Anolis sagrei: one gene and its partner. The protein of the gene in region 2 interacts with the protein of the main gene of each other region in a pairwise test. Links are inferred from orthologs where the notes say so. Each region holds a gene or a part of one and is shown on either strand. Other genes may lie near its edges.

The links.
Region 1: the proteins of GRAMD1C (region 2) and CD151 interact in binary tests that used the Homo sapiens proteins (3 or more experiments, as listed by UniProt). The link is inferred for Anolis sagrei from reciprocal best matches to the Homo sapiens genes GRAMD1C and CD151.

Annotation. Positions count from the first base shown.
Region 1 is NC_090021.1:241,271,431-241,279,375, reverse strand, and holds the start of CD151 (CD151 antigen), read right to left. Parts: upstream 3,007-7,945; 5' UTR 2,826-3,006; intron 1-2,825. UniProt on the Homo sapiens protein: Structural component of specialized membrane microdomains known as tetraspanin-enriched microdomains (TERMs), which act as platforms for receptor clustering and signaling.
Region 2 is NC_090023.1:40,433,542-40,441,194, forward strand, and holds the start of GRAMD1C (protein Aster-C), read right to left. Parts: upstream 3,138-7,653; 5' UTR 3,038-3,137; coding exon 3,035-3,037; intron 1-3,034. UniProt on the Homo sapiens protein: Cholesterol transporter that mediates non-vesicular transport of cholesterol from the plasma membrane (PM) to the endoplasmic reticulum (ER).

The DNA of each region.
Region 1 (7,945 bases), on a different chromosome or scaffold from region 2:
AAAATCTACCCCTTGGAAGGGAAGTTCACCCCTGAAAAAGTTATCATGGGGAAAAGGTGTCTCAACTGAAGTTTTCTTACCAATCCTTGTTACTAAGCCACATTTTTCAAAATCAAATTACTACAGGGACAGAAAGTGAGGTGACATCTTCTCAACAGGGGAACATACAGCAAAACAAACACCACAGGGCTGTTAACCCTTCCCTATGCTAGCCAAAGTTGTATGTATATGCATATGTGTGTGAATGCATGTGTGTGTGTGTAGGCAGGAGTTATACTTTAAAATTTACCTGTTCCGGCTTACATACAAATTCAACTGATGATCAAACCTACAGAACCTATGTTGCTTGTAACTTGGGGACTTCCTGTACAGCCATCCTTCCTTCCTCATTTGGTGAGGTTAAGGGTTCAGGACACCTATGAAAGTGGAAACACTTGGGGACTTTGTAAAACTTTGTAACTGGGGGACTGTCTGTGGTTCTTAACCTGGGGTCCCCAGATGTTTTTGGCCTTCAGCTCTCAGAAATCCCAGCCAGTTTACCGGCTGTTAGGATTTCTGGGAGTTGAAGGCCAAAAACATCTGGGGACCCCAGGTTGAGAACCACAAGCTTGGCTAGGTGTGGGCAGAGAAAGATTACACTGGCCACACATATTTTGGTGCCTCAAATGTTAGCCCTGTTTCTCTGTAGATTTGACCTACTGATTCCAAAGATGGCACAATTTTTTTCTCATTGGATCTAGTTTTTGAAATACAGAATAATAACACCACCAACAACAACTTTATTTTTGTACCCTGCCTCCATCTCCCTGAAGGGACTTGGGGTGGCTTACATGCTCGAGATTCCACATTTATATAAATAAAAATGTAATGTTTGTTTGTGGGATGAACATAACTCAAAAACCGCTGGGCAAATTGACACCAAATTTGGACACAATATGCCTATCAGGCCAACGAGTGACCATCACTCATAAAAACTCCCTCCCACACCCCCCCCCCCCCACTAAACAAAACACACAATAGCATATCCACACTCTCTTCCGGATGACAGCTCCCAGCATTCCCTAGACCAGGCCCTTTAGGAGAGGAGGATGATCCAAATGCACTGCTTCTAAGATACAAAGCTTTCTTCTCCCTAGATTTCTTTGAGAGCATCCCAATTCCTGCATATTTACAATTTCCTATTCCTGGAGTGCAACTCCCAGCAATCCTCCAGATAGATAGATAGATTAGATGGAGATAGGTAGGTAGGTAGATTGATCAAAAGGACTGGTGGGAGCTGCAGTCCAAGAATAGGTAGAGAAGGAAGAAATGAGAGAAAGAGTAAGGAATAGAAAGGGGGGAGGAAGGGAAGATCAAGAGAAGGAAGGAAAGAAGGAAAGAAAAAAGGGAAAGAAGGAAAGAGAGAGGGAAGGAATGAGAGAAAGAAAGGAAAGAAAGAGGAAGATTGGCCACAGCAATGCATGGTGGGTACAGCTAGTAGTTAAAATATAACAACAAAATTCACAAAAGCATCTCAACAGTATAGAAACAACCACGTGTGATACAATACATAGCAAACATCTATCTAGCAAGGAGTTTCTGTATATATTTCAGATTTCAATATTAATGTCAAAAATACGTAGTATGATTTTACATCGGATTTGTGCTACATTAGAACAGTAAAGACAAATACCACTTAAGTAAAATAAACATTAAATATTAAATAACCAGAAAAATAAGATCAGGTGGTCTGAGTAGTGCACAGTTCTGAGCTCAGGCGGCGGCTGGTGCAAATCCCTTGCAAAGGGGTTGGGGCTGATGGATCAAGTGCTGAGGGCAGATGACAAGATTAGAAACTTGGTGGCAATGTAAGGGGAGCACTATGTCTCTAAAAGGGATCTGATTATGGATCAAATTGGGGGGGGGCGAATTATTTGGGGAACTATTTATTTGGGGAATATGTACTATTTACCAGTCGCCATCTGCCTGCCCATAAGAAATCTTGACAACGATATCTAAGAGCAGGCACGGGCAAACTTGGGCCCTCCAGATGTTTTGGACTTCAACGGTAGGCTGTTAGGAATTGTGGGAGTTGAAGTCCAAAACACCTGGAGGGCCCAAGTTTGCCCGTGCCTGCCTAAGACACTAAAGGTGATGCGGTCTATCCAGTGGGCACCCTAAATATGGCAACCCCATGAATTTCATTTTTTTCCAGGCAGGGGATACTTGGGGTGGTTTTGCCAGCACCTTCCTCTGAAATACAGCCTATAGACAGGCATGGGCAAACTTGGGCCCTCCGGGTGTTTTGAACTTCAACTCCCCCAATTCCTGGCCTCAGGCCCCTTCCTTTTCCCCCTCCCCTTAGAAACCAGGAATGTTTTGTTGTTGGGCTGGGTGATCTTTCCCATTCCCAAAACAAAGCAAGGCAGCCCACCCAACGTAGACCGCCTGAGATTTACAAGAAGGGAAGAGGAGGAAAAACCCGCCGCAGGGGCAGAAGACCACACCTGGATCCCGAAATCATGAGTTAGAGATTCCCTCCCAGGGAGATTTTAAGAGAAATGTGAACCAGGTTAACCTTTGGCTGCTTTGCAATCTGACTCAACCCGTGGGCTGAGCAGGCCACTTCCTTGCCTCACAAAGACATCCGGAGAGACAAAGGGAGGCAAGGCGGGGGGGGGGGGGGGGGGACCCACTTTCTGGAAGTTTGCCGGGCGAGTCGCGGGTCCTTCCCGGCCTCTTGAAATGGGTCAAGAAGCCAGGCTGGATCCCCACCATGGAAAGAAGGGCCCCGCTCTCCCCTGCGCCCCCCACCTCCCTTCCTGCAGGGCTCCCCCTCGGCGCACCTTGTCTCCCGGCGAGTCCTGGCGCAGCGCAAAGGCAAAGCCGCTCCCCCGCTGCCTGCCTTCCTTCCTGCTCCTCTTCCTCCCAAGGCCAGCCAGCCAGCCCTCTTGGCGGATGGAGCCAGCTCGGGCCTCTCTTCGCCGCCGGTGGGGACGCCCAGCGGGAGGGAGCCCTCCTGGCCCCGCCCACGGAGCCCGGGAAGGAGAGGGGAGGGCGCCTTTGGGCCCTGCGAGGTCCGCCCCAAGGCCCCCAAGCAGGGCTTCACCCACGCTCGCCCCCCCCCCCCCCCCCGAGGTCTCGGCAGCCTTGCACAATCATCAAGGATGCTGGGAGAGGTCGTCCACAGGAGGACTAGAGTTTGGGGAAAGTGGGGAAAGGAAGAGGAGGAGAGGATGGCAGATGAGTCTGGCTCTGGGAGAAGAGGGCCCTGGTGGCCCGCCTAAGCATCCCAAAGCAGGGGTCTCAAACTCTCCTCTCCCCCTCTTCCTCCAGGTGTTTGGGACTTCATTTCTCAGAAACCTCAGCTGCCTTGACTATCGGGGATTCTGGGTTGAAGTACAAAACACCTGGAGGAAAGGGATGGAGAGGAGCTGGGTTCTAGGAAGGGTAAGAAAGATGAACCAGCTAAACACCCCAAAACAGGGGTTCCCAAACTCGCCTCCTGGTTTTTGGGACTTCATTTCCCAGAAGCCTCAGCTGCCTTAATTAACTGTCAGGGATTCTGGGAGATGAAGTCCCAAACACCTGGAGGACCACAGTCTGGCAGAGATCAGGAGGAAAGGGATGGAGAGGAGCCGGGTTCTAGGAAGGGTAAGGTGAACCAGCTAAATACCTCAAAGCAGGGCTTCCCAAACACTCCTCCTCCTCTTCCTCCTCCTAGTATTTGGGACTTCATCTCCCAGAAACCTCTGCTGCCTTGACTATCAGGGATTCTGGGAGATGAAGTCCCACAGTTTGGCAGAGATCAGGAGGAAAGGGATAGGGAGGAGCCGAGTTCTAGGAAGAGTAAGGTGAACCAGGTAAATATCCCAAAGTAGGGGCTCCCAAACTCGCCTCCTCCTCCTCCTCCTCCTCCTGGTGTTTGGGACTTCATCTCCCAGAAGCCTCAGCTGCCTTGACTAACTATCAGGGATTCTCAGAGATGAAGTCCCAAACACCTGGAGGACCACAGTTTGGCAGAGAGCAGGAGGAAAGGGATGGAGAGGAGACAGGTTCTAGGAAGCGTAAGGAGAACCAGCTAAATACCCAATGTTTAGCACTGCCAACTCGCAGAAGCTTCAGCTGCCTTTAGCAATCTGTTAAAGTTCTAGGAGATGAAGTTGAAAACATCTGGAGGACCAGAGTTTGGTAGAGAGAAGAAGTGACCTGCCTCAACACCCCAAAAGGCACCAGTCACCATCTGATCTCAGAAGCTAAAGAGGGTGAGCGCTAGTGAGTATTTGGATGGGATATTGCCAACAAATATAGGTGCTATACCAAGCATGGGCAAACTTGGGCCCTCCAGGTGTTTTGGACTTCAGCTCCCACAATTCCTGGCCTCAACTGAGGGGGAAAAGGAAGGGGTCTGAGGCCAGGAATTGTGGGAGTTGAAGTACAAAACACCTGGAGGGCCCAAGTTTGCCCATGCCTGTCTATAGGCTCTATTTCAGAGGAAGGTGCTGGCAAAACCACCCCAAGTATCCCCTGCCTGAAAAAAACAAACATGAGATTCGTGGGGTTGCCATAATAGTGGGTGCTCATAATGGAGGGATATAATCATGGTCTCTGGGACTTTTTAACTTCCTAAAAAACTTGGGAGGAGCAAGAATATAGTCAGGATTTTCTGGGGATGCCAAATTATTTAGGTACTTAGAACAAAAAAGGTTGCAAAGAGCGAAAAGGCTGTTTATACTGCAGGGATGTGTATTAAAATGTCTTATGAGGTTCATTTCAAGGCCCCTTCCACACAGCTGAATAAAATCCCACATTTTCTGCTTTGAACTGGGATATATGCAGCTGTGTGGAAAGGGCCTGAGAGTGAAATCTAGAAAAGGAGTTGGAAATAAAACTACCAATATATTTCCCTACAGAAATCTATGGTGAGACTTTTAAATTTGAAATACTGTGTATTTGGCCAGGGGACGCCTGGATGTGTTACCATCCTGTGGGAGGCTTCTCTCATGTCCCCACATGGGAAGCTGGAGCTGACAGATGGGAGTTCACCCCACCTCGCACATTCAAACCACCGACCTTCAGGTCAGCAGTTCAACCAGCACAAGGGTTTAACCCATTGCAGCACTGAAGCTTCTATCAAATCAGATAATCCACATTATCTGCTTTGAACTGGATTATATGAGTCTACACTGCCATATAATCCAGTTCAAAGCAGATATTCTGGATTTTATATGGCAGTGTAAAAGAGGCCTCAGAGAATAGCAAAGGCAGACCTCCTCTGAACAAATCTTGCCAAGAAAATCCTCCCTTCAGGCCCCTATAAATCGGACATAATGTGCCCACAAAAAAATAGAGAAATGAGTCAGATATTTCTCGCAGTACTAGAACCTAGGGTAATCTAATGAAACCAAATGTAATTGTAGATTAAGAATGGATAAAAAGTAGTACCGTATGACCTCCTTATCCTCAGGGGATATGTTCCAAGACTCCTATGGATGTCTTAAACTGTGGCTAATAGCAAACCCTACATTTTGACTATATTTCAGCAGGAAGCATATCATAGAATCACGTTGGAGAGAGAGGTCCGCCAACACTCCCAGGTAGAATATGTTTTGGAGCAGGGAGAAGTGAAACTGGATATCCACCCCATGGATAAGGGGATTGTATTGTATTTCTTTACATAGTGCATAGTAAAACTAGAACATTTGCTACCATCTTGGATGAGTATTTAAAAAGTTTAAAGTAATTTATGGAGCAAAGGGCTAAAAATGGCTACTAGGCATGGTGGCTATATATTACAGTCTCCAAATCAGTATGCCTCTGTGTACCTGTTGCTAGGGGACATAAGCAGGGAATACTAATGCATTCATTTCCTGATATGGCTTTCCGTTGGCATCTAATTAGCCGCTGTACAAACAATGTTAGACTAGATCAGCCTTTGCTCTGATTCTTTACAAAATTATGGTGATTACTGAGTGAAGGCAAGAGCTGTTTGCTGAACTGCAGCATAATTTACAGTGAGATTTCCAAATTAAAATTAAAATTGTTTTTTTCATACACGCCTTGGGCTTGAAATAAGCACTCAAAAAGTTATAGTCTCCAAAATACTTTGTATTTCTATTTTTTTTAATAAGTCCAGTATCCTTTGCTTTGCTTTGAAGGAGCTGGGGGTGGTGACGGCCGACAGGGAGCTCTGGCGTGGGCTGGTCCATGAGGTCACGAAGAGTCAGAGATGACTGAACGAATGAACAACAACAAATCCTTTGCTATTACGTTCTGCTGTCCTCTAAATACACTTGTAAAAGTGGATTGCTGCTGCTATTGCTATGCTACATTCACCACTGAACTTCACAATAAACATTAATAGTTTGTAGATAGTAATATTTTTAGTAGAAGGGATCGTAACTGAAATACGTGATATGTTTTTAATAGTTGTATTGAGGAACATTCTTTAAATGTGCAACTTGAGTTCATCTGCTAAAGCAAATGGCTTCATCTAACACTTTGGGGTAAATGATCCCTAATTTGCATTTACATTGTCAAGATTCCTGCTGATCAATGAGTGACCAAGAAAGCGATCTTAGTAGATAGCTCAATGATAGCATCATGTGCAGCTGCTATAAAAAGGCAATCTCTCTATTGGCTATAATTGTCTATTGGCTATCATTGTCTATTGGCTATAATCAGACCTCGTCACACTAGAGCATGAATCCACTTTAAATCCAGTTTCTGCCTCCTGCAGAATTCTGGGGCTTATAGTTTAGGGCCTTTAAATTGCTCAGCCAAAGAGATCCTGGGTCTCATAGAATCATAGAGACCTTGTGGGCCATCCAGTTGTCCAACCCCCTGCCAAGACGAGGGAAAATCGCCTTCAAGGCACCCCTGACAGATGGCCTCCAAAGAAGAAGCCTCCACCACACACCGGGGCAGAGAGCTCTCCGGAGCAGAACAGCTCTCGCAGTTAAGAAGTTCTTCCTAATGTTCAGGTGGAATCTCCTTTCCTGTAGTTTGAAGCCATTGTCCATGTCCTAGTCTCCAGGGCAGCAAAAAACAAGCTTGCTCCCTCTTCCCTATGACTTCCCCTCACATATTTATACATTGTCCGAATGTATATCCCGCTACAATCCACCTAGGACCCTAAGATCATCCAGGGAGGCCCTGCTCGTTGTCCCCCCATCATTGCAATCACATTTGGTGGGGACAAAGGACAGCGTCTTTTCTGTGGTGGCCCCTCGGCTGTGGAACTCCCTCCCAAATAAAATTAGATCTGCTCCATTCCTCCTGACCTTTCGGAAACAAGTGAAATCCTGGCTATGGGATCAGGCCTTTGCAGACTAGGCTGACCTGCTGGCAGAATGACAGCTTTAATGGACTTGATGGACTGCTTTTAGGACAATGACTTAAATTGGCGACTATTTGAATGTTTTTATGCTGTTTTTATATTGTTTTTATTTAAATTGTATATCTATGCTTTTGGTTGTGGGCACCATGGTGTGCCGGTTGTTAGCCACCCTGAGTTCCTCTGCGGAGGTCAAGATAGGACAGGATCCAAATGTCCTAAATAAATAAATAAATAAATAAATAAACTACAAACCCAGAATTCTTAAGGAGGCAGAAACTGGATTTAAAGTGGATCCATACTCTAGTGTGATGAGGCTGCACATCTGATCCCCTGTATATACTACTGACCATTGTGGATTAAAGGGTAATAACGGAGACAGAGAATGCTACTGGAACATGGCCATACAGGCCAAAAAATCCACAGCAACCCAGTGATTCTGTCCATGAAAGCCTTTCACAACACAATATAATTGTGGGTACAATAATGCAGAGAGGGAGAGAGAAAGAAGAATGCACTTGCTGCATTTTAGCACTTAATCCTCTGGCTTCCAGTAACATATTATCTCCTTGCAGAAGTATATTTTAATATGTAACCACAGCCTTTGTTTTGTCACCGGCTTTCCCACTC
Region 2 (7,653 bases):
TTGCAGAAAGTCAGAAGGAAAGCACCCAGTTTATAGGACCCCAGTACTGACAGATCTAAACATACATGTCAGCCCTGTATCCAATGGAGTGAAAGTGGTGAAGGATTAGTCATTATGTTTATTCTAACTTACAGAATCTATAGCAGGCATGGGCAAACTTCGGCCCTCCAGATGTTTTGGACTTCAATTCCCACAATTCATAACAGCCTGTAACTGGCTGTTAGGAATTGTGGGAGTTGAAGTACAAAACATCTGGAGGGCCGAAGTTTGCCCATGCCTGATCTAGAGCCAGCCTTCCATATGCATTGTGTCTAGGAGTGCAGGACCCTCACAAAAGCGACTAAAGAAATTGCCATTCTTATACCTGAAAAAACACTTCTCTAAGCACTTCTAGCTCTTCCAGCGTGGCTCTATTGTCAACTATTGTTGGACTATAGAATCGCACTGGAGGATCTAGAGATTCCTACAGAAATGTTCTCCTTAGAAATCGCTAGGTCCTCCAGTATTAATGGAGAAAACTGATCCTAGAGTCACACTGTACAATCTAGAATGAAAATTTTAATGAAATCCATGAAAAATCTGTGAGGGGAAACTACCCAAAGACAGCAGAGCATCCCAAAATACAAAACGGGATACCCTACGGTTGAGCATTCAGCTCACAGCAAGCAGAACATGAAGTGCTGTGGCTGTAACGAATTTAGGAGGCAAAAATGCAGAGTTTAATCTTAAACAGTACAAAAGGTTTATTTACTTTAAAAAATAGTAACATTTCTTCATAGTAAAGAACTGGGTCTGAGCTATTCTATACTCCATCTCTTCTAGGGTTCAGAGAGGGGAAAACCACCGAGCACTACATCTCTCCTGGTACACACAAGCAGAGAGAGATCTCAATGCACTCTACATGAACAGATATATAAATAACACTTTATTTATATTCCGCCCTATCTCCCTAAGGGGACTCAGGGCAGATCACAGTACAAATACGCAGTAAACATTCAATGTTGTTCGGATAGAAAAGGACAGAACAGACAAAAAGGAGGTATGTTGTGTTGACATCCAGCTTTCGATGCCTTTGGAGGATGTGCTCAAATCTAGCCACAGGGGGGTGCTGTTGCTCCATCCTCTATGACGAAGAGCCATCACGACTTCCTCCTTTCTTTTGGTCACCAGTATTTTCTGGTCTTTTTCTATTATGGTTTCGTAAAATACCTCCCCTGCTATTTATATCGTGCCGAGGCAAGAGGGATATTGGGAGGGGAGAGGCTGACTACCCACGAAAAATTACTACTACCACATCAGCTCTAGATTATTAAAAATGGTTTTCTGTGGGCTAGCAGATGGTGACAACTGGATGGCATATGTTCTGTATCAGAAACTAGAGCTGATATGGTCTATCCAATGCAATTATCTGAATCAGCACCCCAAATAACCAAACCGAATCTAAAGTTGACCAAAAACTGATTCATAGCCCTTTTCATACTAATGTTGGAGTAGTCCCTGGTCAAGGTGGTTCCTGGTCAAAAAAAAGGTTAGGAACCATTGCCGTAAACAAAGGATTGACTTAGTGGAGAAGTTGAGAGTGTTTTCTAGGCCCTCAGTTCTCCATTCCAGGCTTCCTGGAATTCCCCTTCTGTACCTATCCTTTCAAAAAATGAAATTGGTGTAAGTGTGTAAGAGAACTGGGAAGCCCTGGCCCCTGAGTGCTCCAGCTGGAGGTCAGCTGTGACCAGCAGTGCTGTAGAATTTGAAGAGGCACGAACGGAGGGCAAAAGAGAGAAACGTGCCAAGGGAAAGGCATGTCAAGCCAACCCTGACCAGGACCACCTTCCACCTGGAAACCAATGCCCTCACTGCGGGAGAAGATGCAGATCAAGAATAGGGCTCCACAGTCACCTATGGACCCACCGCCAGGACACCGATCTTGGAAGACAATCCTACTCGGACAATGAGGAATCGCCTATGTAAGTAAGGGAAAGGTCTCATCAAAGTCTAAAAGTAAAGGTTTTCCCTTGACATTTAGTCTAGTCATGTCCGACTCTGCAGGATTGATGCTCATCTCCATTTCTAAGCCAAAGAGCTGGCGTTGTCCGTAGACACCGCCAAGGTCATATGACCGGCATGACTGCATGAAGCACCTTCCCACCGGAGAGGGACCTATTGATCTACTCACATTTGTATGTTTTCGAACTGCTAGGTTGGCAGAAGCTGGGGCTAACAGCGGGAGCACACCCCGCTCCTTGGATCTGAATCTGCGACCTTTCGGTCATAAAGTTCAGCAGCTCAGCGGTTTAACCCACTGCACCACCAGGGGTTCCCCAAAGTCTACAGTTAGGGCAATTCGCCTTTGAAATCGGTTGACGAATAAAGGATTTAACATTGAAAGATGCCAATGTCTCCAAGCCTTATTGTGCTTCTGCCCCATCTGCCAGCTTCTTGAACCACGTTGGCACTCTGTGTGGCCTATGAAATATCAATACTAAAATATTAATATTAATTTACACAACCCCCTTTTATGTTATTATAAAAACAGTGAACTATTTTAATAAGGAATTGAGATAAAAGGGGTTTTTTCCCCCCTAAACTGGAAGAACACTTGGGAAGTCTATCACCCCTAGAGGATAAGGGGTGCATCTACACTGCAGAATTAAATCCAGTTTGATACCACTTTAAATGCTATGGAATCATGGGAGCTGAAGTTTGATACCACTCTTTGGCAGGGAAGGCTACAGACATTGCAAAACTACAGTTCCCATGATTCCATACCATTGAGCCCTGGCAGCTAAAGTGGTGTCGAACTGCATTAACTCTACAGTGGAGACGCACTCCCCAAAACAGCGTGGAAAGTGGCACCTTGTCCATCAAGTCCAACCTAAGCTCACAATTTCAATTCCACTGAAGATCCCAAGCCAGGGACTTCCCCTGTAAGTCACACCTTGGAAAAGCAAAATAATAAATACCTCCAAAGAGAGAAGGGGAAAAATACCCCAAAGGAAAGGGAGGGGGGGGTGAAAGGGAGAAAGCCCACGCCGCTTACCATAGAGGGAGAGAGGGAGGTGCAGCGAGGCCAAGGCTGGTCTCCAAACCCAGCACACCGGAGGGCTGCCGGGCTGCCCTTGTGTGCGATTTAAAGGGCCAGCAGCGGCATTAGGACAGGGGGAGGGGGAAACCTGTTGATCTCTTTGACCGAAAACAGCGGCCTCTTTAAAGAAGCACGGGCTCCTTTCATGGCCAATGAAAGGAGGCGGCGATAAGATCTAAGGCTTCCTGGGACTTCCCCTCCTCTCTTGAATCAGGTTGCAGATTTCCCTAGGAGTAAGGATGCATCCACGCTGTAGAATTAATGCAATTTGACACCGCTTTAAACTGATATAGTTTCAATGCTATGCAGTCATGGGGGTTTATAGTTTGGTGGGGCTCCAGCACTCTTTGGCAGAGAAGGGAGGACGACCTTGGAAAACTACATCTCCCGCCATTGCATAGCCTTGAGCCCAGTGGCCCAAACTGCATTAAGTAATTGTAGTTTACACTCTTTGGCAGAGAAGGGAGAAAGACCTTGGAAAACTACATCTCCCACCATTGCATAGCCTTGAGCCCAGTGGCCCAAACTGCATTAAGTAATTGTAGTTTACACTCTTTGGCAGAGAAGGGAGAAAAACCTTGGAAAACTACGTCTCCCACCATTGCATAGCCTTGAGTCCATGTGCCCAAACTGCATTAAGTAATTGTAGTTTGCACTCTTTGGCAGAGAAGGGAGAAAGGCCTTGGAAAACTACATCTCCCACCATTGCATAGCCTTGAGCCCAGTGGCCCAACTGCATTAAGTAATTCTACAGTGTAGATGCCCCCTTGCCAAGGTCTTTAGCTTTTTCCATCAAAGAGTGTTGGTTTTTAACAAACTACAAGTCCCACTATTCCAAACTACAAGTCCCACTATTTTAACAAACTACAAGTCCCACTAGTAGTTAATGTGGTGTAGGAATAGTTATGTAATTATAGGGGAGGTCATGAGTTTTCCGGGCTGTATGGCCATGTTCCAGAAGCATTCTCTCCTGATATTTCACCCACATCTATGGCAGGCATCCTCAGAGGTTGCGAGGTCTGTTGGAAACTAGGAAAACAGGGTTTATATATCTGTGGAATAATGTCCAGGGTGGGAGAAAGAACTCTTTGCTTGAATGCTGCAATTGGCCACTTCGATTAGCATTTAATGGCCTAGCAGTTTCAAGGTCTGGTTTCTTACTACTTGGGGGGATCCTTTGTTGGGAGGTGATTAGCTGGCCCTGATAGTTTCTTGTCTGGAATTATCTGGAATTCTATAATGTCATTATAGTTAATTAATTTTAAATAATTAATTAACATAGTCGTTCATGAGATTGAGTCTGTGGAAATCAAAGGCTTTTGTATGTACATGATTTCTAGGACACATATTTGAGGCGTGTTGACACGCAAATTAATCAGTTGTATATATACAAAAATAATATGTAAAAAGCTAGTTTTAATTAAGAACTGTATTCTTAATTAGTTAATTAGACCACATGTGCTCTTTGGATGACATATCGCATGAAGGCACAATACAAGACGAACCCAATAAACTAATTTGTACTTTTTGAATTCATGGCAAACATCCGTCTGCATGATATAAATCTCAGTGATTATGCTATTACAAGAAAGAGTTATTGAACTTTGAGTGTCCTGTACTTCAAAAATAAAAGTTATGGGAAAGTTTTAGTCATGGAGAAGCCTCAAAGATACTCGGATAACATACTGTGGGTTTTGGAAAGCACTTCAATGTTTCCACTATTCCACTCTCCTTATCACATCACTGGTATAGTTATAGCCTATGGCATAACTGGACAAGTTTAACTGGTATGTTTACTAGGACCAACAAAGAAGCTGGATATCAAATAATACATGCTACTCTGTCAATTCTGGGCTCATCTGTACTGTAGAATTAATGTTTTGACGCCATGGTTCAATTCTATGGTATCCTGGGAGTTGAAGTTTTACAAGGTCATTCTTCTTCTCTGCCAAAGAGTGCCAGTGCCTCGTCAAGCTGCAGATCCCAGGACTTAACTGCGTTGAGCCATAGCAGTTACAGTAGTGCCAAACTGCATTAATTCTACAGTGTAGATGCTATGGCATCCTGGGAATTGTGCACCAGCGCTCTTGGCAGAGAAGACTACATTTATATAGTAAGGGTGAAGGTTTCCCCTTGACATTAAGTCTAGTCATGTCCGACTCTGGGGTGGTGGTGCTCATCTCCATTTCTAAGCTGAAGAGCTGGCGTTGCCCATAGCCAGGGGCAGCTCAACCATTACGCAAAGTAAGCATTCGCAGTATAGTTGATTTTGCCTAGGGGTGCTCTTGAGGCGCTCTTGGGGGAAAATAGACCTTGACATATGCGAGTTGTAGTTACTAGGGTGTATAGTTCACCTACAATCAAAGAGCATTCTGAACTCCACCAATGATGGAATTGAACCAAATATGGCACACAGAAACCCCACGATGAACAGAAAATATATATCAGTGATTGGTTGGGGGGGGGGGGGGGATACTGTTTGCTTACCGTTGAAAATTACCTAGGGCCGCCTCTGCCCATAGCTACCTCCAAGGTCATGTGGCCAGCATGACTGCATGAAGTGTCATTACCTTGGGTTGTTGTAGGTTTTTTTGGGCTATATGGCCATGTTCTAGAGGCATTCTCTCCTGACGTTTCACCTGCATCTATGGCAAGCATCCTCAGAAGTAGTGAGGTCATTACCTTCCTGCAGAAGTGGTATCTATTGATCTAATCACATTTGCATGTTTTCAAACTGCTAGGTTGGCAGAAGCTGGAGCTAACACCGGGAGCTCATCCCACTTCACAGATTCGGTCAGCAAGTTCAGCAGCTCAGTGGTTTAACCCGCTGTGCCACTGGGGGCATTTATATATATACGTGCAAAGGTGAGGCGGGGGGGAGGGGTTTGCTAGGATTTCAATTTCAGATCAAGAGTGGTTTCTCATCCACATCACCCCAAATTAATTATTTTAGTATAATAATAATAATAATAATAATAATAATAATAATAAACTTTATTTATAGACTGCCCTATCTCCCCGAGGACTTGGCAGTTTTCAAAACATATGGCAAGCATTCAGTGCTAACAAAGAAGCATATCAACAAATTACATCAAAAACAAAATACATCAAACAATATAATACAGCCTAACTATAAACCTAATCTATATAAATAAAAGTGGTTTTTGAGTTATGTTAATCCCACAAATTAATGTTCATTTGTGGGATTAACATAACTCAAAAACCACTGGACAAATTGACACCAAATTTGGACGCAATCAGGCCAACGAGTGACCATCACTCATAAAACACTGAAAAACATAGCGGAAGGGACTTAAAAACAAGAAAATAAAAAAAATACAATGCATGTGCATAACCACATATATACACAAATACACAAATATATACACTCAAAACACATATTCACAGACTGGGCCACAGCAACACGTGGCAGGGGATGGCTAGTATCAAATAAGAATATACGGAAAAAAACCCTAGCAGACATAATCACTATTAATGTACAAGCCAGAAAAACTTGAACAACCCCACTTTTTTGGAATACAAGCCCCAGAATCCACCAAGTCAGGGTCAGATGGTGAGAAAGCAAACAATACAACATAAAATAATGTTTTGATATTTCAACACAAAGTGGGTATAAAGCCCTGCTAAAATTAGAGGAGCTGGGCAACCAAGCATCTGGCCTGTTGCCCCTTCTCAGCAGCCCTGCTTCCTTTTCCAAGGAAGTAACATGGAAATAGCTACCGCTAGGTGAGAAGGGCCATCTGTTCTTCTCAGAAGGTACATGACAACAGTTTTGTTCACCTTCCCTAGAATAGGGCAACTAGCTGTGCACAGCAACTGAGTTGTAGTATTATGCAAAAACCCTAATGTTTCCAAATGTTGCTAGCAGCAGCCATGCATCTCTCTGGGCCCAAAAATGCAGACAACACTGGGATAAAGGGGGGGGGGGGGGGGAGGCTAGATGACATTTGCCAAAAATTCACACTAGATCACACTAACAGCTTAAAAACATTTTTAAAAGGTGTACTTAACATCCAACTTTGGCCGAAGAATGTGCATATTTGCATCACTGTATATCCCTGCAGTTAAGAAAAATACATGACTTTGTTGCTATATGCTGGTGTGGACTGCTCCAGCACATGTGCATATTTTTAAATCCCCAAACAGTTGATGAGGACCATAAACAGATGGAGCCACAGACACACAGGTGGCTGAATGGAAGCACAATTGGAAAGCAATTCTCATAAGAACTCTCTGCAACCTTTCCCTTGTTCTCATATTTATGAAATTAAACAGAGTTTGAATTTATAAAGTGGGCACCAGCATGTGGTGGGCACATGCTGGTGGTTTACACAGTATGTGGTTTACACAGTGGGCACCAGCATAGTGGGCACCAGTGACCTCAAAGGGAAGCAGAGTTCAAGAGTGAAAAAGTAAAGGCAGCTGGAAGGTGAGGAGAGACAATGACATGACATCTGCTTGTTCGCACATTCATATATTCACATCAGCACTTACGAGGTCCAGCGCATCTCAGAGCATCATTTTTAAAAATAGTAAACCTCCAATGGATGTCC